6 linked regions of the Nothobranchius furzeri genome follow. The protein of the gene in region 1 interacts with the protein of each later gene in a biochemical or structural test. Links are inferred from orthologs where the notes say so. Each region holds a gene or a part of one and is shown on either strand. Other genes may lie near its edges. The genes, in order: crhr1, multiple PDZ domain protein, disks large homolog 4, magi3a, dlg1b and pdzk1.

The links.
Region 2: the proteins of crhr1 (region 1) and multiple PDZ domain protein form a complex in vitro, tested with the Homo sapiens proteins (2 studies listed by BioGRID and IntAct, with this or other methods). The link is inferred for Nothobranchius furzeri from reciprocal best matches to the Homo sapiens genes CRHR1 and MPDZ.
Region 3: the proteins of crhr1 (region 1) and disks large homolog 4 form a complex in vitro, tested with the Homo sapiens proteins (2 studies listed by BioGRID and IntAct, with this or other methods). The link is inferred for Nothobranchius furzeri from reciprocal best matches to the Homo sapiens genes CRHR1 and DLG4.
Region 4: the proteins of crhr1 (region 1) and magi3a form a complex in vitro, tested with the Homo sapiens proteins (2 studies listed by BioGRID and IntAct, with this or other methods). The link is inferred for Nothobranchius furzeri from reciprocal best matches to the Homo sapiens genes CRHR1 and MAGI3.
Region 5: the proteins of crhr1 (region 1) and dlg1b form a complex in vitro, tested with the Homo sapiens proteins (3 studies listed by BioGRID and IntAct, with this or other methods). The link is inferred for Nothobranchius furzeri from reciprocal best matches to the Homo sapiens genes CRHR1 and DLG1.
Region 6: the proteins of crhr1 (region 1) and pdzk1 form a complex in vitro, tested with the Homo sapiens proteins (2 studies listed by BioGRID and IntAct, with this or other methods). The link is inferred for Nothobranchius furzeri from reciprocal best matches to the Homo sapiens genes CRHR1 and PDZK1.

What each region holds. Positions count from the first base shown.
Region 1 is NC_091746.1:33,510,673-33,514,172, forward strand, and holds part of crhr1 (corticotropin-releasing factor receptor 1), read left to right. Parts: intron 1-1,455; coding exon 1,456-1,609; intron 1,610-1,694; coding exon 1,695-1,755; intron 1,756-2,023; coding exon 2,024-2,096; intron 2,097-3,500.
Region 2 is NC_091742.1:68,620,705-68,624,204, forward strand, and holds part of multiple PDZ domain protein, read left to right. Parts: intron 1-19; coding exon 20-111; intron 112-614; coding exon 615-696; intron 697-3,423; coding exon 3,424-3,500. UniProt on the Homo sapiens protein: Member of the NMDAR signaling complex that may play a role in control of AMPAR potentiation and synaptic plasticity in excitatory synapses. Promotes clustering of HT2RC at the cell surface.
Region 3 is NC_091750.1:46,505,815-46,509,314, forward strand, and holds part of disks large homolog 4, read left to right. Parts: intron 1-1,203; coding exon 1,204-1,373; intron 1,374-1,540; coding exon 1,541-1,677; intron 1,678-2,337; coding exon 2,338-2,482; intron 2,483-3,060; coding exon 3,061-3,196; intron 3,197-3,273; coding exon 3,274-3,430; intron 3,431-3,500. UniProt on the Homo sapiens protein: Postsynaptic scaffolding protein that plays a critical role in synaptogenesis and synaptic plasticity by providing a platform for the postsynaptic clustering of crucial synaptic proteins.
Region 4 is NC_091755.1:38,365,285-38,368,784, forward strand, and holds part of magi3a (membrane-associated guanylate kinase, WW and PDZ domain-containing protein 3a), read right to left. Parts: intron 2,786-3,500; coding exon 2,171-2,785; intron 1-2,170.
Region 5 is NC_091751.1:34,938,310-34,941,809, reverse strand, and holds part of dlg1b (disks large homolog 1), read left to right. Parts: intron 1-3,025; coding exon 3,026-3,189; intron 3,190-3,500. UniProt on the Homo sapiens protein: Essential multidomain scaffolding protein required for normal development. Recruits channels, receptors and signaling molecules to discrete plasma membrane domains in polarized cells.
Region 6 is NC_091754.1:24,604,905-24,608,939, reverse strand, and holds the start of pdzk1 (Na(+)/H(+) exchange regulatory cofactor NHE-RF3), read left to right. Parts: upstream 1-1,235; 5' UTR 1,236-1,326; intron 1,327-3,512; 5' UTR 3,513-3,516; coding exon 3,517-3,723; intron 3,724-3,792; coding exon 3,793-4,006; intron 4,007-4,035. UniProt on the Homo sapiens protein: A scaffold protein that connects plasma membrane proteins and regulatory components, regulating their surface expression in epithelial cells apical domains.

The sequences.
Region 1 (3,500 bases):
ATATACTGATTTACTTTTTGTCTGTGAAGCACTTTGTGACTTGTGTCTGTGAAAAGTGGTATATATATATAAACTTCTTCTTCTTCTCCTTTTTAAAACTTTCCTCTTTGGGCTGGAACTTGTCCCTGACCTGGAACAGGTGTTCTACCCCTTTTTGACTCAAGAGCATGGTCTCAGATTTAGGCCCTGTCCACACGTAGCCGGGGATCTGCCAAAACTTAGATATTTTTCTACGTTTTGGCCTGTCATCCACACGAAAACTGAGTTTTTTTTTTCACACGAAAACGGATCTTTTTAAAAACTCTGGCCAAAGTGAAGACCTGCGTTTTCTCCATTTTGGGTGTCTGCGTGTGGACAGACAAAACCGGAGCTTTAAGGTCCGCAACGTCACGTTCCGCGACAAAAAAATGCTGACATCACGTGTGCGACCTGTGTTTACACTAGCCGACAGCATGGATGCCCACAGAGCTGCGCTCGCTTTATCAATTGTCCAAGCGCTTTCTGCTTGTTTGTTTTTGCAAGCGGAATTACTGCTCCTTGTGGAAGACCACAGACGAAGGACGAGGTTAAGAACGGGGGAAGCACTGCCGCCTACAGGTCTGGCATGTCCTTAACAACGTATTTATCCGAGTACGTGTGAACAGAGTTTTTTTTTTAAACGAGGTGGTGTGGATGCAAGTTTTTGGAGGGGCGGATATTCGTTTTTAAAAAAACCCGGCTACGTATGGACTAGGCCTTAGAGGAGCTGGTTCTCAGCTCAGTGATATAATAAATGCTAATTTGTGACACATGTGTGAGTCTCCTCTGTACGATAAACATTATGTCTGTATATTGCAAGAATGTAGAGAACCTTCACAGAACTAAGTTGAAGACATTTATAAATGATGTAGGAGAACATTAGACATCGTGGTGGATCAGAGCAAAGGGCTAAAGGCCAGAGTGTCAGTTCTGTCAGAGCTCAGTGAAAGAGGACAACTTCACTGAAATCTGAAGACATTGATTCTCCGAGGACAGGAAGATGTTTGGAGGTGTAAATATTTCATGCACTTCGGAGGAGTTAATAATGAAGCAATTAAAAGAATTTCCTTCCCACACAGTTCCAGCTGGTCTGTTTCCAATGTGCTGTTCATTAGCATGAATGACTCATGCACCGATCTAGGCCTCCTCCTTCATTTGGTTGTTCTCATCTGCCAATTTCTTAAACAGCCTCCTTAACCACACCAGTACAACTACAAATCCCACAATCCTTTGGAACAGCTCTGTTCTCCTAATCTACCTCCCTTCTCTCTTCTCTTCCTCCCCTCATCCCTACCTGTTTCTTATCCTCTTTCTCTTCCTTTTCCCTTCTTACTTCTTTTCTCCTTATCCTTGTTTCTCAATCTCTTGTCCTTCCTAAATCTTCTTTTTCCTCTTTATTTGTCCTCTTCCTTTGTCCTCCTCCTCCTCCCACCTCAGGCGTGGTGCAAGCTGGTGACAGCAGCATATAATTACTTTCATGTCACCAACTTCTTCTGGATGTTCGGTGAGGGATGTTACCTTCACACTGCCGTTGTTCTCACCTACTCCACCGACAAGCTCAGGAAGTGGATGTTCATCTGCATTGGCTGGGGTTTGTTCACCTTTTCCACCTGCTCTGCCGTCTCCCTTTTCCCGCCAGTTCTGTCCTCTCACCCGTCCATCCATTCTGGTCATAGGTATTCCGTTTCCTGTCATTGTGGCCTGGGCTTTTGGGAAGCTGTACTATGACAATGAGAAGTGAGTCACACAAAAACACTGAATCTATGTCTCAGTGGTCCAAGTGGAGCACAGGTTAATGCAACACATCTGTACCTGCCAGGTGTCATGTGACACCAACCTGAACTCTGCAGGTTAAGGATGTCACTGAGTTCCTGATGAAGTATGTTGAACAGAAGACTTTGTTTCATTGCAGCGGACAAAAATCCAGAATTTCATCAGTTCACAATGTCACAATCTCAATATTTGTCTGATTGATGTCTAATGGTTTCTGTGTTTTAACTGGAAGATGCTGGTTTGGAAAGAAGGCAGGTGTTTATACAGATTACATCTACCAAGGTCCGATGATCCTGGTCCTGCTGGTAAGCCCACCCTAAAGGATTAAGATCTTTTTCTTTATGTCTGTGAGATTATGACTAATCTTTATGCTGCCTTCTTGGACAAATAGTTGAACAGATTAGTTTTGACTGAACCCAGATCAATTGACTTTTATATCGGGTAACAACACTGGTCTCCTCAAAGCACTACACAAAAATTAGTGAGACAGTTTCAGATCCAGCCCAGATTTAGATCCAGCTAGATTATAATCTAGATCATGTAAACTGGAATCAGCAAATTTTATCTAATCTTCACCAACACAGCCCTTCATCCTGAGCAGAACAGTGGAGGGAAACTCTTTGAACAGAGAGTGTTTAGTTTTAATATGGGAGGGTTGAACAGGACACACTTCAACATTGTCACAAGTAAACTTCAATACAGGCTATGATTCAGTAGCTTCAATAAACATAATTTGTATAGTTAAAACAGAGAAACAGGACTGGACCCCTGAAACCATCACTATTGATGATCATTCAAAAGCAGCTGCAAGTTCTGCATTATCTTTTATTATTATCTAGGCTCCTCCCACTCAGTGGACAGGACACGCCTCAATATATCCATTTTTGATTATGTGAAAAGCTGACAGGAGTCAGGTCTTGTTCTAGTTGGATTAAAGCTCATGGTCTTTAATCAAGTGTTTGACACTAAGCCGATACACCTGTGGCGAAGCGGACAAACAGCCCACATATTGAACAGATCATCCTAATAGCATGATCAAAGCTGAAGGCAGGTGACTGTGACACAGGTTAGCATTCTGTTATCATGCTAATTATTTAACAAGAGGAACGAAACGTCCTTCAGAAATAGAACTGTGATGAACCATCTTTAGTCTGAGGAAACGGGAAAGAGACACTGATGCAGAAATGTTGGCCCTGTCAAGTTTTCAATAAAAAATAGAGAAAACCAAATCAATGGAAGCCATCCATTCATTTTCGGCCGCTTATCCGAGGTCGGGTCACGAGTGCAGTAGGCTAAGCAGGGAGCCCCAGACTTCCCTCTCCCCATCTTTTGTACTTTCTTGCTGTGTTTGTCTTCAAATTCCATTTTTGTTTTTGTTTTTTTAAACACAGATAAGGTTTTTCTTTACCTTGCTGACATTTCGTTTGCGGTTGCAAACATCTTCAGAGCTGACACGGATGGTGGCGTCACTTCCTACTCAGTTTATCCGTGGGCAGCAGAGGATGTTGTCGCCTTCTGCTGCCTGCTCTCCCCTCTCCCCAGCCACTTGGCTGGATTCTCATCCCAGCTGCTTCACACTCGGCTGCGAACCGCTCCAATGAGAGCTGGAGATTACTGGCAGCAACAACAGTAAATAAAACATGGAGAGTAAAGGCAGCAAAATGAATAAATGTGGTCAGTCTGTCCTCCAGCAGCATAACTAAAGGGAT
Region 2 (3,500 bases), on another chromosome or scaffold:
CTCATCTCTGTCCTGTTAGATCAACGGACACGTTCTTTATGGCCACAGCCATCAGAATGCGTCGTCTATTATCAAGAGTTCCTCATCCAAAGTCAAAATCATCTTTATCAGGTAAAAAAAAACGGTTGTATTTGGTGTAATTCTTCTAAATGTCCACCAGAGGAAGCTATTGTTATTCTACAGATTTGCTCAGTGTTGCACAACATTTTTAAAAATGTATAGCAACAATATAATTTTAGTTGTCTGCTAGTTAAACATAATAGTAATTATTATTGGTATGTTTTAACTAGTTGTTCACAGAATGATTAAAAAGCAGCTTTTTTGTGATCAAAGATGAGTTTTACTACCTATAATTGCTCTGCTGCCTGAAACAGAGACGGACTCTCAGCCTCATCATCACCAGGGACATGTTTGACCTCTGACCCTAGTTTTAGTCTTATCCAGGATCCAACTACTTAACCCCCCTACTTAACTCACATCCCAGTCCTGACCCCCCCCCCCCCCCCCCCCCCCCCCTGCTGAAACAGACACAGAGCAGCCTGCGTATATTACCATTCCCTCTGTCCCGGAGCAGAGGAGCAGTGGTTTACGTGAGTTATGACTCTGTGGAACAGGAACACGGAGGCACTGAACCAGATGGCTGTGGGACCTGTGAGAGAGCACGAGGGAGGCGCAGAGGAGCCCCACGCTGCTGAGGTGCGATCATAAAACACAAGAACTCCCAACACACTCCCATCGTGCAGCTGGTAGAAAGTGACGCTTGACTTCACTTTACTTCTGGTCTTCTTGTACAATAATTAGGCTTTTACTCTGCGTCATGCATCTGACTTCTGTGTTTATCCCCCTGTGTGGTCGAGGGAACTCCCTAAACACCCAGAAAACCTCAAACTGTAGTTTGGAAAACTCATAATGCCGAGGTGGACCAGTGTGGATTTTAATGAGACTGATGTGCTGATTTCTTTTTAAATTAACGCAGCTACTTCATATTCTTTTTTTTTTTTTTACCTCCATCTTATAAAAATAGACTCCTAATGACCTACTGAAATGGTCTGCATCCTGTGGCTCTGACGCCACTCATGGTTCTTTGGCTCAGTTGAAATTGCTCCTTGTACTTATGAGCAAAAATGAGTCATTTTAACATTTAAGCTGATAAAAGACAATGATAATTTTAGCAGTTTTCCATTCCAATTGTTGCAAATATTCATGAAGTTTCTGCCACAGAATGAATAATAATACCAGTAGGTTTTAGTGCCAGATGCAACTAATAACTTGGGTTTTAACCAAAAGGTTTTAAAATATTAGTTTTACTGATGGGCTAATTGTTTGTGTTTTATTTTTGCTTGTTTTAAAAAATTCTACTTTAAAGGGGCATTATGGAAGTTTGACAGCCAAAACATGTATAGAAATAATAAATTTCTTCTTCATACATTCTCCTGCAAGGCCCTGGTCCTGTAGAATGAGCCCTGGCATTTTTACTGTGATTGCCTGTTTTTCCGTAAAATCACAGAAAAAGAGAGCTGCTCGGGTCGAGCAGGCTGCTTCATGCGCGTTCACGCACAGGCATCGCCCGTAGCATTTGCTATCCGTCGCTTTAGCAGCAGAGAGTGAGGTAGTGCCAACACAGCGACAAGTGATGAACCTAGCTACATTTCTGAGGACCATTAGCTACTTTCTTCTAGATTTTTCCTGCAAATTAGCAACAAAATAGCCATTTTCGCTCCGGACCGTTCTTTGGATTGACGTTGTTTCAGCTGTCATCAAGGGTATAAACGTTACAGATACAAAGAATGTCACTGGCACTTTAGCTCACTTAGTGAGACGTCTGACTCTCATGTAGGAGACCTGGGTTAAATTCTGGGTGTGAATAAAGAGTTTCTTTTTTACATTAGTGATAATTTGTTTTACAGTAATAAGACACCCAGATTTTTATTTGAGACTTGCCGAACGGCGTTGAATTCACAGGTAAAAAAGATGTGGGTTCAACTTTCATTTTGGAACAATTTTTCAAGCAAGGGAAGGGAATGATCTGAGCATGCAGGAGGACTGACCCATCATAAACCTTTGTCGGCTGTGCTGAAGAGAAAGGTACAGAACCAAATTATTTAATTAATTAGCTGCACGTTCTCCTGTCCTCTGTCCTCCAGGCCACACACACACACACACACACACTGCACGTTCGGCCGGCTGACGAGAAAGTGCAGCTGCAGAGACAGAGGGACATTATTTTTATTAATTTCCTGTGTTCTTCTGTCCTCCGGGCCACACACACACACACGGGACTGTCTCAGCTGTTATTTTCATTAAGGAGTGTACACGTACAGCATGCACGCCTCGTGCACGAGCCTACTATTGAAGCTGCCATTAAGCTTTTGGCCTGAGGGGGCAATCGCGAGCATAAAAATTCAAAACTCCGAAAAGTCCCTTTAAATTAAAAAGCACAAGGTAGTTTTATAGATGCACCAATTCTGGTGTTGAGAGCCAATACCGATTTCTGATGTTTGTACGGCTCTAAGCTGCCAGTACATAGTTTGGGCTGTCAAAGCTCAGTGGCCTAGTGGTAGAGTGTCCTCCCTGAGACTGGGAGATCAGGGTTCGATTCCTGGTCGGGTCTTACCAAAGACTTTGAAACAATGCGACCTAATGCCTCCCTGCTTGACACTCAGGATTAATGGGTTGGATTGGGGGTTAAACCACCAAATGGTTCCCGAGCGCGGCTGTTTCTGCAGCTCACCGCTCCCCCAGGGGATGGGTCAAATGCGGAGAACAAATGTCGCACACACATAAGTGTGTGTGACAACTATTGGGACTTTAACTTTAACAAAGGACTAAAATGAATAGATTTTCAATTAACTCGGAAATGGTTTGTTAGGATATAATAACTAAATAAATAATGAGTTTAAAAAAATTTTTTTGTTCTAAATTTATTTGAACTTAAATAAGGTAAAAAAGATTAATTAAAACTTGGCAATAAAAACCGGCATTATAAAATATTTAATTGCAAGCAGTCAGCATCCCCATATGTGGACATTGGTCCTCAGAGGTTAAGACAGGTGACAGTACCACACAGCTAGCTGTTCTTAAAACACAGAAAAATAAAAAATAATGAACTTCTGATAATGGAAGACTGATACTTTAAGCATTTTAATAATTTGTTATTTGCTTAGTTTATTTAATGGTTGTTCGTTAAGACACTAAGGTGCAGTTTGATGATATATTTATCTCAGGGTCATAGGGCTCATTTTCCTAGAGAACTACTGTGTTTATTCTTTTTTTTACTTTGAACTAAGAGATGGTAGAAATTTTGTAGTAAATGTCGTTGATTCCTGACTTAATTTTTAAATAAACATTAAGAACACTTAAGAAAATATATCAGGCTGACACATTGATCTGACTCTATTTAAATGTTCATCTGTTCTCTCACAGCCTCAGCTGGCTGCAGAATACGACGGTGATGCGTCCGAACATGTTCATCCTGTGGTAAAGGTTGAGGTGAGACACAC
Region 3 (3,500 bases), on another chromosome or scaffold:
GCCTTATTTTTTATTTAGCATATTTGCTAAATGTTTTCACTACTATCAGTCTGTTGTTTTGCACATTTAAATACACAGAATTTCAATATTTTATACATAAATAAGAAAATAAGTTAATAATAAGGTTTGATGCATAGACGCTTTTTTGGAAACTGAAGTGTTTATTGGTTAGATCCAATAAACTTGTTTTCTAATAAATATATAATTTTTTGGGTTGGTAAACCACTGATATACCACTGCAGAAAACCTGATTCTGGGGGGTGGGGGGGGGGGGGGGGGGGGGGGGGGGCAAATTTTCTGATGGCTATATTTTCAGAGACAACCAAGCTCCAAAAATATGGGGTGTACAATTTTTTTTTCAGCCAAAAGACAAAAATTCATGCTGTGGAGGGTTCAGAGTGAGGCTCTCTGAGACGTATAACACTTGTTCTTTTAGAAATATGATCGGTCTCTCAGCTCCACGTGCATGAGGAGCATGAACATAGTCCCTTACTTCTCCTGTATTAGCCGCTGAATGAAAGTGGACGATGAAATGCTCGGGTCAGAAAAGGCCTCACGGATCTGCATCACACTGTAAATTAGCATTCTGCCATCTTGGCTCGTGAACTGGAAGGCTATTATTGGTTTAGTGTCCAGGAGAGAGCAGAGCACATCTTGGCTAGTAGAAGCTAACCGTTAGCATTAGCAACCCCAAAACATGGCAGAACTCCTTCAGGCTTCTGTTATTTGTGGAGATAAAACAACATTTAAGAGCGAATGAAGGCAGTGGGAAAGTTGCATTGCTGTTAGTCAATCAGAGGCGAGATGCTTGGATATCATGAATGATCATCAGTAAGACTCCATGTCCATTTTCCACCTCCTCTCATCCAACTAATGTCTACTTCCTGACACAGGAGCACCAAAGCTTTTTCCTCACCAAAAATGGCTCTCAAGGTTCATACTGGAGCGTATGTCGACACTAACCCGCATTTAATCCTTGAATTTTTTAACGTTTCTTCTCCATGTGCACAAAAAATGCACTGGGAGGGTATAAGGGTTATGGTTTGATCAAGTCAAGGAAGAAATTCTACCATCTTTAAATGTTAAAAATTAGTTTCTGACATTTTCTAATGGAGAATTATCCTGATATAGTCACCAAAGTCATGCTGTTCTCACTTTCCCACTCACCGACTCTCTCCATGTCGCCTACTTTCTGTTTCTCAGTGTGAACGACTGCATCCTATTTGTGAATGATGTCGATGTGAGGGAGGTGACACACAGCCAGGCTGTGGAGGCTCTGAAAGAGGCAGGTGCTATTGTCCGCCTCTACGTTCTCCGCAGAAAACCAGCAGCAGAAAAAGTCACCGAAATCAAACTCATCAAAGGGCCTAAAGGTACATGGAGGACTGGGCTGGTTTACCAGCACGGAGGCTTTTGTGTGGGCTTAGCGGCGCCATGTGCCCAACTAAGCTGTGCCCTTCTGGATTTAGCAAATCTCTTCTGCGTCCCCCAATTCTTTGCTCACTCTGTGTTTCTTTTATCTCTTTGGTTTTTTTCTCAGGATTGGGTTTCAGCATCGCTGGAGGGGTGGGAAACCAGCACATACCGGGAGATAACAGCATCTACGTCACCAAGATCATCGAAGGCGGGGCGGCTCACAAAGATGGACGTCTGCAGATCGGGGACAAGATCTTAGCGGTCAGTCATGCAGATATAATAATAAGCACATGGATGCAGAGATAGCAACACACACACATTAAAACAGACATTATGCACGTTTGTCCTGAAGCCAAGCCTTTACAGCTGCAGGCTTTACTCTCTGACATTACGCTCATTAACATGATGCTGCATGTGCCAGATGGATGACTGTAAACATCCAACATCATGCTTCTCAAACAGCTCTGCTGCTGTCTGGTGGACAACACAGAAACTCACACCTAAAGCTTCAAAATGGAGCTTAGTTTCCTCTAAATGGTGTGTGAGTCAGCGACAGCATTTCTTGTGCATTGAGACTTGTCATAAAATATTGATTGCATTGTTCTGATTAGCTAATATTAATCATGTCTTAATACCTGGGTATCTGCTGCTCCCTGTGCATGCGTGTCTGGTTAGTAGAGAGATGGAGGGGCCACCGGCTCACTGCTGAAAGCTTTTGTGCTAGCATCTGTTCTCCTAAAGGGGATAAATACATGTTGACTGGCAGGTCAGACATTGTTATACATATCTCATTGTAGCATGCACTAACTTGACCTTAATGTTTATTTAGAGTAAAATAAAGTTTCAGCTGCTTGGATTTGCTGGTGAACGTCTACGCTACAGCTGCAGTTGTTTGCAATCCTGCTTGCCGTCAACATGCAGGTGAACAACGTGTGTCTGGAGGACGTGATGCACGAGGATGCAGTTGGAGCTCTGAAGAACACGGGCGAGGTGGTGTACCTCAGAGTGGCCAAGCCAAACAACCTGTTTCTGACCAACTCCTACAACCCACCAGACCTCACCAGCAGTAAGATCCGCGCTCTGGTTTTAGTGGCACTTCTTTTTCTCATCGCGTTTCAAAAATTTATTAATGCCACATCATTTAGTCTAAGCATTTTACCATTAATTTAATAAAAATGATGAGTACATTTCTCTTTGATTACAGATAGACAATTTTTCATTCTTTTCTAAACCATAAGATAAGAGTTGCCAGACAACACAAATGAGATGCAACATTTCAGCTCTGGAGTTTCTATTTAGCTCAGAAATAATATAATATTATAAATAAAATGTTTACTCACAGAAAATTTGATGCGCTTTTGTACTTTTGCAGTATTTAGTCACTTGCGTGATCATCTGAGCTACTAAAACTGTGAATTTTTGGGGCTAAACAACAGTTGGGTGACACTTTTATACCCCAGATTTTAGTAGGATGCAGATTTCCAACACAATCCTTCTTAAAGTCATAAAAGTTTCACACATTCTAAGGATAGAAGCGTGTAAATTGATAAGAATTTAGACTCTGCTGATTAAACTCACCTGTGACAAATGACATCGTGTTTATCGCCACATCACAGCTCTGATTTGTGACAACTTTTTCCGCAGCGTATTCTCATATGGATACTGAACTGAGCCACTCCAACTATCTTGGATCTGATTACCCACAAGCCCTCACTCCGACCTCACCGAGCCGGTTTTCTCCTGTTCTGCACGGCATGCTGGGAGACGATGACATCCCCAGGTGATACCATTCTCCTGCGTGGTGCCTTCTTATTGAGTTTTCAGCTTTATTGATGCCTCTGTTGGTAAACGTTTCAGGGAGCCCCGGCGAGTTCTGATCCATCGAGGCTCCACGGGTCTGGGCTTTAACATTGTTGGCGGAGAGGATGGAGAAGGAATCTTTATCTCCTTCATCCTGGCAGGAGGGCCGGCCGATCTCAGCGGAGAGCTTCACAAGGGCGATCAGATCCTCAGTGTAATGACATTTTCATCAACGCTGAATTCCTCACACACACTCTTGTGCATTTTAATGGCTGTAAACACAC
Region 4 (3,500 bases), on another chromosome or scaffold:
AAGGGTAAATCAATAGTGACAGAATCTGTTCAATCAGCAGGGGGCAGTAGACTCAAGTATCAGGAATCGTAGGCCTGTGTTACAGGATGGAAGGAGGTAGACCTACAGCCAGGGGAAACGTGTGTTTTAGGTTAAAGTGGACACTTACTTGCTGCAGATACAAATCCTCAAGTTTTAGATTCATGCAAACTTTTGGGTTTACTTTGGTTCTTAGTTTCTCCTCATTTGAATTTCTTACTTATGTTTAAAACAGATGTTGTACCAGGAGCTGTTCTCCAAACGATCCGAACCTTTGACTTGAGCAGCTTCACGTCATCACTCATTACCATCTTACCCAGGTGGGTCTGTTCCTATCAGAGCTGATGAGACGGACGACTAGTCTGAACCTGCCGCGACCAAAACGTGTTGCTGCTGAACTTAAACAAAAGCTAACGTGAAATGATGTCACGAAACTCTGCAAAACTCTTAAGTTTGCAACAAATATATACTTGGGTGAACTAATGTAAAGATTTTGGAGACTTGACCTGTTTTAAGAGCGCTTTGGTCACTTTGGAATATTTATCCAGTCTGATCAGAAAGCAATCTCCAACAGACTAAAGTGTTTTAGAAGTTTGATACAGAAACATGTGTTTATCCTCTAATACGCTTCATCATCCTTCAGTGGCTCCTTTAGCATAGGAAGCATGGCAGCATCCTGAAGAATGAGAATGTCCCTTCCCGAAACAGTAAAAACAGCACAGACACAACTGGTTATTGTGTAATTAAAAATACTAATGAAGACTATTTCATTACTTTAAGATTCAAGGAGCCGTTTACTGGTTTGTTTGAACATTTCCTGCACGTCAAGTTTTATTCAGCCGTTGCAGGTCTGTACTTCAGCACTCATGCACATCTCCACCTCTTCTCCTTAACCTCGAAAAGTCTTACAGTGCTTAAGAAAACAGGTCATTTTTGACTATGTGACTAGTTTTGCTCACATCTCACCAGGTCCTTTCCTCCGCTGGTCTTCACGCCCGTTTTCCTGCTCTCTTCCATTTTCAGCTCATTTTATGTTGTTTGTAGTATTTTATGCTTCGACTAATTTGGATTTCCTGCCGCTGATGTGCCGTTGTTCTACAAGCTAGTTCAAGTTTATAAATTCTCCATCTGCCTGCACATCTGCATTTCAGTTTCTAATCAAACGAGAATGTTGTTGCAAAGAATAGAAATGTTTTCTGGGAGCTACAAACGCTACAGTTACTAAACAGAACACACACACACACACACACACACACACACACACACACACACACACACACACACACACACACACACACACACACACACACACACACACACACACACACACACACACACACACACACACACACACACACACACACACACACACACACACACACACACACACAGATAGATAAGGCCCCCAGAGCGCACAGCAGAACCCGGCTCAGTGCATCTGATGTGTGGGTGCAACGTTGATCTCTTGAATCTAGGCTACTGCACTGCAGCAAAGGCAAAGAAAAAAGAACGAGCCCTTCAAATCTGTGAAAGCACGAAGCAAGAAAGCGAGTGGTGATGATTACCCACCACGCTCCTGCTCTCTCCATGCCTTCCCTTCCCTCCTTCTCTTAAGGCAGTGAGTGAATCAGTAAAACCGTCATCCCCCCCCCCCCCCCCCCCCCCTCTTCTTCCCAGCACTTGTGACTGCACTTTGCTTACTTCCTGTTTTGGGAGGTAGATGATGCAGAGCTGGCATGGACTAGAGCGTGAAATTGCTTTATTTAACAAGGAGTGTGTGTGTGTGTGTGTGTGCATGTATTCAAGCACAATGTGCTGCACACAAACCATCCTGTCATTTATAAATGAAAACATTTACACGATTCCGTCATTCTGACCTCCTCTAGACTCGGCAGATCTTAGACAAAGGGCGAATCATGCTGCTGCCTCACTGCTGAAGAAATTCATTTCAAATACAGACTGGACTGTCAGCCCATTGCTTTGTTGTTGTTGTTGTTTTAAGTGCTGTGCAAGCAACAGGTGATGCAAATCTGTGTGAGGGACACACTTCCACTTCATCTTTAGACTAGAGCCCGTTTGGTGTCAGAATAAAACTCTGGTTGATAAAAAAAAACAAAGTTTGCAGCATGACCCCTCCTTCCCGTGGACTCACCTCCTCTAAGCACCAGCACGTTGACCTCGCTGCCCACCGGCAGGTCTTTGAGGATGTCCACCACCTGGGAGTGGCTCAACGTTTGAACGTTCTGCCGGTTGATCTCCTTGATGACATCGCCCTTCAACAAGCCGCGGCACCACTGCGCATCCAAGATCATCTTCACCTTCTGACCCAGGGGACAGTCGGCAATGGCAAAGCCAAAACCTCCCGGGCCTTTGACCAATGGTACGCTCACCAGCTCCGGCTGCAACAGAGTGGAGTCTGGCCCTTCCTGGTTTAGGGTGAGAGGAAGGTTCTGTTGCTGCAGCTGGGGATGTGGAAGGCGTCCTCCTCCATTAGTCATGGGTGGAACTGAGGCTGTGTGCCGGGACAGGGTTCCTCCATCTGGGACGTTCTGTGGTGTGGAAGTGGACGGAGAAGAGGAGGCATCCTTCGAGGCAATGAGGCTCCCCGACACTTCCTCGCTGCTGCTGGAGTCGTCAGGAAGAGGGTAACCCCGGCACAGGACCAGGTCTACGTATTGGTTGATTGGAATGGACTGGAACATCTGCACCGCATCAGCGTGAGTCTTCCCCAACACACACGCCCTGTTTATGTCCACTATGACATCACCTAAAAGAAGAACAAAGAGCTTTCACAAACACTCCACATAAATGGTTGGGTCTACCAGGATTTGGACCTACAACCACCTGTGGGCTTTACAAAGAATTGTCTGAAAAAGAGAAAATCCCCAGTGAATGAAAACGTCCTCTTCAGGTCAGAAGTCAGGAGAATGTTCAAAGTAGTTTGAGATGCTAGAAAAACAACAGCGGCTCAGACAAGCCCTGGTTCCCGCAGGCGGCGTGGCTGGTGAGGGTGTTTGTGATTAAAACTAGGGGTGCTCCGATTGATCGGCCGCAGATAATTATCGGCCGATTTTCCTGCAAAAGTGTGTGATCTGTGATCGCCGATCGCTGCCTTTCATTTCCGCTCTGGCACTGGCGCTTACTCTTCCCGGCTGGTAGTTCACCCTTCCGCTTCTCCCCGCTTAGTGCGCATGCGCGTGGCGGCAAACCCGCGAAGACAAACAAGTCTGCCGTGCGGAACTTCTTTACGGTGTGCGAGAGTGATATTAAGTTTGCGTCTTGCAACACTTGCAACGAAAACATACCCCGCGGAGGAAGCACTTCAAAAAAATTCAACACGATGAATTTGATCCGACATTTAAAGACTAAACACTTGGCGGAGCACGGTGAGTTTTCGAGGCTCACCGCAGACAATGAAAAGAAGGCTGCTAATGCTAATGCAGCCACAGTCAGACGGCAGCTAACGCAGCCGACGCTTGGAA
Region 5 (3,500 bases), on another chromosome or scaffold:
CCCAGCAGCCAGTCCTTTGTGTCGTTTTAACGGTTTTTCATTCAGACTAAAAGCGAACCGTTAGTGAGAGATTCTGATGTTTTCTGGGTTCTGGAGTCGGTTCTGATCTGGTGGGAGTTGAACCGCCTGTCTGAAGCCCGTTGACTTGTAGGCGGAGTGTTTTCCACGTGGATCCGTGTCTCTGGTGCTGCCGGGTTAGGACAAATCTCGGGCTTTGGACCTTTATTTGGAATTAAAATCATCACACCTGGTTCTGCTCCTCAGATGGGTCTGCTCTGCTAGAACTGGGTCGGGTCTGTGATTATTGAAGGTTCTGGTTCAGATCTTGTCTGAAGATCAACAGGAATGAGTCTGACTCTTTTCTAATAAAATGATCCATTAGAACCGTAGAACCCGTAGGGACGGTTCCGGGCTTGGAGCTCGTGTTGCTTCTGCAGAAACATCTCAGCGTTCCTCGACTCCTCCAACCTCTTCCGATGAAAATCCTCTTCCTCAGGAACTATAAGCGACATGAAACCCGAGTTCTGGTTCTGACCCATAGCTGATGGTCCTCGCGTGTTCCGACGTTCCCTTCATCTGCTCGTTGCTGCTTCTGTTTCCTTGAAAAGTTTTTAGACTTTTTATGATTCCCAGAATAAATCCCTGTGACCTATGACCTTAATCTTGCGACCACCAGATTTGAATCCCGTCGATCCGATCAGGCTGGAGGAATAAAACCGTTCGGAGCGTTTTTCATGTCTGGAATTCTGGGATGGAGGAACCAGAAGGCTGGAGAAGATTCCGTAGCCTAAATGTTTGAGGGTGAAGGAGCGGGTTCTGCTTGGAGCCTGGCTGGAAAACCGAGCCTGGAGCAGCTTTAAAGGCCAGCGGTCTGAGAGGAAACATCTGTGCCTGCTGGCGGTCAGCTCCTGCTTCCATGGTTATTTTAGACGTTCCTTCTCTGGAAGCTCTGAACAGAGTCCAAAAATAAAGAAGGCATCGGTGCTAAAATATCCCCCTGGAAAGACTAATTATCTCCCACAGAAGGGAAGGGAATTACGGGAATCATGGGATTCAAATTCTCCCTGAATTTACCTCCAAAATCCCACAAACAGGAACTTCTGGTTTAAAGATAATTGGCTCATAACGATTTCACTTCCAATTAGGGTTGTCACGGTGTGAAAATTTAACCTCACGGTTATTGTGACCAAAATATCACGGTTTTCCGTATTTTTTTAAACGTGCTACATTTTCAGACAATTAAATAAACCCTGTATATCAGGAAAATATTGTCCTCAGTTTGTGTCAAAATTTTGCCTAAAACGTGTTATTTTGTAATTATGTTGTTTATTTGTTTACATTTTTTCCCTTTAGTCTTTAAAACACCAATATTTGCCCATAACTTCTTATTTTTTGTCTGCTTGATGTCATCATTTTAAAAATATTAGACCAAATGATACTCAGTACTCAAGTAGCCTTCTAATCAGATACTTTTTTACCCTTACTTGAGTAATAAACCCTATATCAGGAAAATATTGTCTTCGGTTTGTGTCCTTCCAGTGAGCTTTGCAGATGTGGGAAAATGTCATCAGGCAGTAATCATTGTTAAATTCATAATTATTCTCGGAGAGAGACCAACTCTTATCTGCCCCTGGGAGCCCCGTAATGCATAGCGTCATTTCAACATGGGGGTGTCCGCAACACGGTTTTTATGCAGGCTGCTTTAGCGACTCGTTGCATTCTCCCTCCACCCAAATCCTCGGATCACACATTTTAGCTAAAACGCTAACGTTAGCTTGCCTTGCGTTGACTGTAGAGTTGTGGGTGATGGTCACGCAGATGTGTCATGAGATATGAGGCGTTGCTGCCTTTCACAGAAACTTTTTCTGCACGTGCTGCAAACAGGATAGCCGTCTTCTATCAAATGTCCCTCGGCATTCTTCAAATATCCCAAAAAAATGCCCACACTTCACACTTTGTCTTCTTTGAGGGATAATAAATGTCCTGAGCGCTGCCGTCTCCTCCTTTGGCCATTATTTCAGCTTTAGCTTCAAGAAAGTTTGGATTTTAAACAACAAAGTGCGCATGTGCCGCCTGCAACTTCAGCAGATGATACAGTGGCTGGTAAGGGTCACCGCGCCTACACCACAGCCACGGTAATCCACCGAGATAATATTTTTTTTTTAAAACAAGACGGTTATTATTATTGTCAATTTTTTTATTGGGGTTTACCGCTACACCGGTTACCGTGACAACCCTACTTCCAAGCAAATGAATCAACTTTGAATGGTTAAATTTAAGTGAATAGAAACAATTTTATTCTTAAAGCACTACAGGAAGTAGAAACCGTTGCTGTAGAGTCTAAATCTGAAGTTTCAGATGAATATGTTCAGATTCCCTCATCCCAATCCCGATTAATGTGTTTGAGTTCCCAGCAGCTGCTTTTATTCCTAAATAATTCCCGTTCTGATAATGTAATCCTCTGGTTCCCATCATCTGGGTCGGTACGGGTCGGGTCAGCAGAGAAAAGAGATGCTGCTTTTTCTTTTTTAATCTTTATGAAATGTTGATCAGGAGCTGAAGAAGACTCCTGTGGTTCTGGTGCTGACCCAGTTCTGAGGTCTTGTATGTGCAGTATGTGAATCGGTACCGGTCCAGTTCTGATCAGATTAGTTATCAGTAGTGATGTCCCAATACAACTTTTCACTTCCGACACAACACCGATATGGCAACCTTCAGTACTGACCGATACCAGCAGGAATGCCACAGTGATTTTACTCATTCGGAGAACAAGAGCCGATTACAGTAAGTATGAAAAAAGTGACACTTTTTTCTTTACCTTTGTTGCAATAACTGTATTTATATGGGAGGTTTTGATGCCGCCCGATATAATCTGATTGTTTTTGGGCCGATATCGATATCAGAACGGGACTTCCCTAATCATCAGGTTTATGGATTCCAGACGAGTTTCTGCAGCTTTCAAACTTTTAGTTTATGGTCTGATTAAAGCATGTCCCTGTCCCTGTCCCATGCTCTGTCCTCCCAGATATCCAGGAATTTTACGAAGTGACCTTATTGGACAGTCAGAGATGGGCGGAGTCTTCCAAGGGGGCGGACCCCATGGCGCCTGTCCACCTGTGGGACTTCCCGAGTCTTCAGAGCACAACGGTGACCTCGGAGACTCTGCCCAGCCTTAGCACCAGCATCGAGGTAAGATGACGAAGAAGAAGAAAGAGCTTTTCTATAGCGCCTCTCAAGATAAAAGTCACGAGGCGCTTAAAGGCGTAAGAACAGATCGGTCCTGCTGGAACTGGTCGGAACATTCTGGACTCAGGCGTGTTTCTCTCATGTCCCGGTTCTGAAGGTCCAGTAGATGCACAAAGAGTTAAAGTAGAAATGGATAAAACTAGAATTTTAGATAAAGCAGAACTGAAGCTGCTCTAACAGAACCGACTCCCAAGTTCTCCTGTGAGGTCCTCAGGATCTGATCGGACAGGAGAAATGGGTCGGTACCGGTGGTT
Region 6 (4,035 bases), on another chromosome or scaffold:
AATTTAACAGTTTTCCCTTGTAAATTTGAAAGAGACACTTTTGACTGTGTGCAGTTTGTGCTGCACTTCTTACAGCATAGAACAGGAGGCTGTAATGTGATCCACATTCTTGCAGGCTGTCCGGAACCTGGATAATGGATGCCCTTGCATCTTTCCACCATCAGCGACTAATTTCTATCAATGTGCCTTAATGCTTCTAGTGGTAATGCCCTATTAAGGGCAGCAGTGTGCCAAAAAAATAAAGAAAATGTGCCAACTCAAAGGTTTTCTGACAGAAATCAATGCACTGAATATGATTTAGAGCTTATAACAGAATCAGTGTTTTTCCAACATGCATAAGAAGTTTATTTTTTTAGAATCATTTGATATTTTACTAAAGCAGAATCAAAATGAAAATAAAAGTTTCCATCTAGTTTAGAAAAAAATGTCCTATATCAGCCACAAATAAGGTAAAGACAGATGATTATTTCCTTCATGATTCATTTAATTTAATTTGTAATTTTAGTTATTGCTTACCTTTATTTTAAAATATTTGAGATGCTATTATGAAGTCCCCTAGTGTCCAAGTCCTCATGCTTGCTCCTAGAATTTGACATTTATGACACGTTTCTGTAAAAACACACCTTTGTCCAGTCCATATGACAGCAGTACAAGACCTTCATACCTACAGCTACAGTAACAATAAACAATACACCCACGTTTACTGGGAACATCATAAAAAACCTTGTAGACGGAGTACGTACATGACAAACTACAATAAAACCTCTGTGAAATAAATCCTCGTTCTCTTCACTGAGTGCTAGAGATTATCTAAATCAAACTAATAAAAGTAATAAAAAATAAATAAACCACACATGAAAATATAATAAAAAATATCCATATTGAATTTAATTGGACATTTATTTTTGCTAAATGTTGTTTTTCCACAACATAAACTTTCATAAATCAGATACTAAGTATGTTTTCTTAATCTTAATGGCTGATGGCCTCTTCTGTGTGTTTTATTCATGAATTTTAGATAAATAAACATAAACAGGATGCAGTCTTGTGGATTCTGACTATGATGTGTGAACATGGCTGTTCAGCAGCCACCTGCTGCAAACTTTGAAAAATAAATAGATGACTGCTCGCACTCGACAGACTGCAAAGAGCCTCAGACACTCATGACACAAGACGTTGTTAAATAACTCTTTAGGCTGAACTTTGACCTGTCAAAGTCCCTTAGGGAGGTGGGGAGGGGGGAGTGCAGGTTTAAGATGCCATAACAGCTAATCAGTGACAGGTGAGCTCCCCCTTTAGACGCAGACACTCAACAGAGGAGAGTCGGTGAGTGAAATGTTTATTTTACTCTTTATTTTTTATTGTTATACTTTTTTTTAAATAAATTTGGGGAAATTTTAAGATTCATAAAGGTTTCCTGTGGAGATTAAAGAACACGTTTAATCATTTGCTGGAAAACCTCTGATACTTTAACAGGTGAAAAAATATCAACAAGTTAAAAACGGTGTTATCACTGTTTGTTGCTTTGGGTTTATTGATATTATTTTCCAATTTTTAAGTATTGAACAGAATAATCTACTTCTTTGGGGCTCTTAATATTAAACTAGCTTTATATTTTGGTGAAAAAGCTGTTAAAATCAAATCTAATACGACGTAAACTTTATAACCACATTACAAATATGTACCGCTTTTAAATAACTATTAAACTTTTAATAGTTGTATCAATACTTCAGCTGTAAGCACAAGTAAAAAAAACAAGATTAATAAAGTCAAATGAAGCATACAGCTAAACATTTCTTTTATAAGGATAAAATAAATATTACACCTTTTTAACTCTAAGATAAAGGTCATAACTCTATTTTAAGTTGTTATTAGTGTGTTTTTAATTATTTAATTGCCTAAATTATACATTGAAATAGTTAAAACTAATTAAAATACATTTTGTATTTAATACATCATGAAAACAAACCCAAAGTTTTTATTAATTTACAAATTTCTTAAACGTTGCAATGAATCTCGTTTAAGACATGAGTGTTTGCGTTTTTAATATAAGCACACCTGCCTTTTATAGCATCCCGCTGAGAGTTAAACCCACAACCCTTAATTTGGATTCAAAGTCCAGTGATTTTTATTTCACTGTCAGCTGTGTGTCCTGCAAATCATTACATGCCTGTTGTCATGGAAGAGTAACTTTTCATCCTCTATCAGCACTTCTGTCACGTCTTTATGTGCTGAAGTATCCACTCTGATAAATATGCTTAATGCGTAGCACAATAGATTACAAGGTGAACTAATTTATGATCGTCAACAAATGTAAAGGGGAAAAACAGCTGTTTAAGTTCGATTGCATTTTCCAATCTCAAAGCTCTAAAACCAAAATAAGTCTAAGGCTTAACTGGCTTGGTCAAATTTATTGACACTTTAAAGGTGTGGAACACTCAGTTAATCAATGCATCGGCAATGATCTCTAGCAGAAAGAAATGGATTCTAATTTATGATGCTCCTGTTTCAGCACAGAGAAGTAAGCTGAAGGAGAAAGTAGCTTCAGACAACAAGATTAGTAGTTTTATTTCCTGATATTTGGTCATCTTGCATTGGATTGGCTAACAGCAACGTGACAAAAGTTAACGTTTTATCTCCACAAATAACTCAACCCTGAAGGAGTTCTGCTGTGTGGTGGAGTTGCTAATGCTAACTAGATTCCACTAGCCAAGACGTTCTCTGCTGATTCCTGGATGCTAAACCAACAACAGCCTTCCCCATCACGAGTCAAGATGGGTGAATCCATGCATGGATATAAATTTTGGTGTGTGTGTGTGGTTGGGGGGGGGGGGGGGGGGGGCATGTCACCCCCCCCCCCCCCACACACACACACACCCCACACCCACGCACACTTTTGCCAAAGTCATGTTTTGACCCCTGCACTTTTTATCGTCCAAAAACAATATTACTCTATATTAAGTAGACACTGGTTGAGCTCTAGGACCAAGTGGAAAACAACTGTTTGTGTTGAAGCCTGTTTCCCATTAGAACATACTGAAAAGATTCCCGCTGGTCCTCGGTTGTCCCCCCACCCCTTACGCCTAAGACTTAACTATATATATATATATATATATATATATATATATATATATATATATATATATATATATATATGTGTGTGTGTGTGTGTGTGTGTGTGTGTGTGTGTGTGTGTGTGTGTGTGTGTGTGCAATACAAGGGAGACGATATGATTTACTGTGAAGTTAAAAGCTGACAATATTTGCAGATGTTAAAACAGTTTTATTTGAAAACTGAGGCCAAATGCTTCCAAGACACATTCAGTATTATTGTGAGATCTCGCTGGTTTGTCAGAATGAAGGCAGTAAAAGCTGCTGCCACCTAGCGGCCGGAGTTTGAATTGCACCACACAAAAGAAGTACAATACATACAGAATATTGCGATATTACATTGTCTCAACATTTTCTTGCATCTCTGTTAAGTACCGTTTATTATTTCTTTGTTCATGTTAGGACAATGGCCACGTACACGCCAAGGGTGATCTCCCTGGCCAAGAGGCCTGGTCAGACATTTGGCTTCTTTCTGAGGGTGGAGCAAAGTAAGGAGGGCCACCTGATTCGCTGCCTGGAAATGGGAGGTCCAGCTGAACTGGCTGGTATGAAAGATGGAGACCGCATCCTTCGGGTCAATGGAAAATTTGTCGATGGGCTTACCCATTCAGAGGTGAGCAGAATGTAGATACACAGCAGATCCAATCACCAGCAGTGAATTTCCATGGTGTCCCTCTACTAGGTGGTGGAGCTGGTGAGAAACAGTGGAGCATCTGTCACATTCCACATTCTGGATGAATCGTCTTACAATCAAGCAAAAACACTCGGAGTGAACCTCTCCGACCCTCAAAGCTCACCCATTGCCAACGGATTGGCTAAAGAAGATTGGAAGCCCAAACTCTGCTACCTGGTCAAATCTAAGTCAGGATTTGGGTTTTCCATTAGCTCATTTAAAGGTAAGGTACATTTGTAAAGGGTTAAAGAA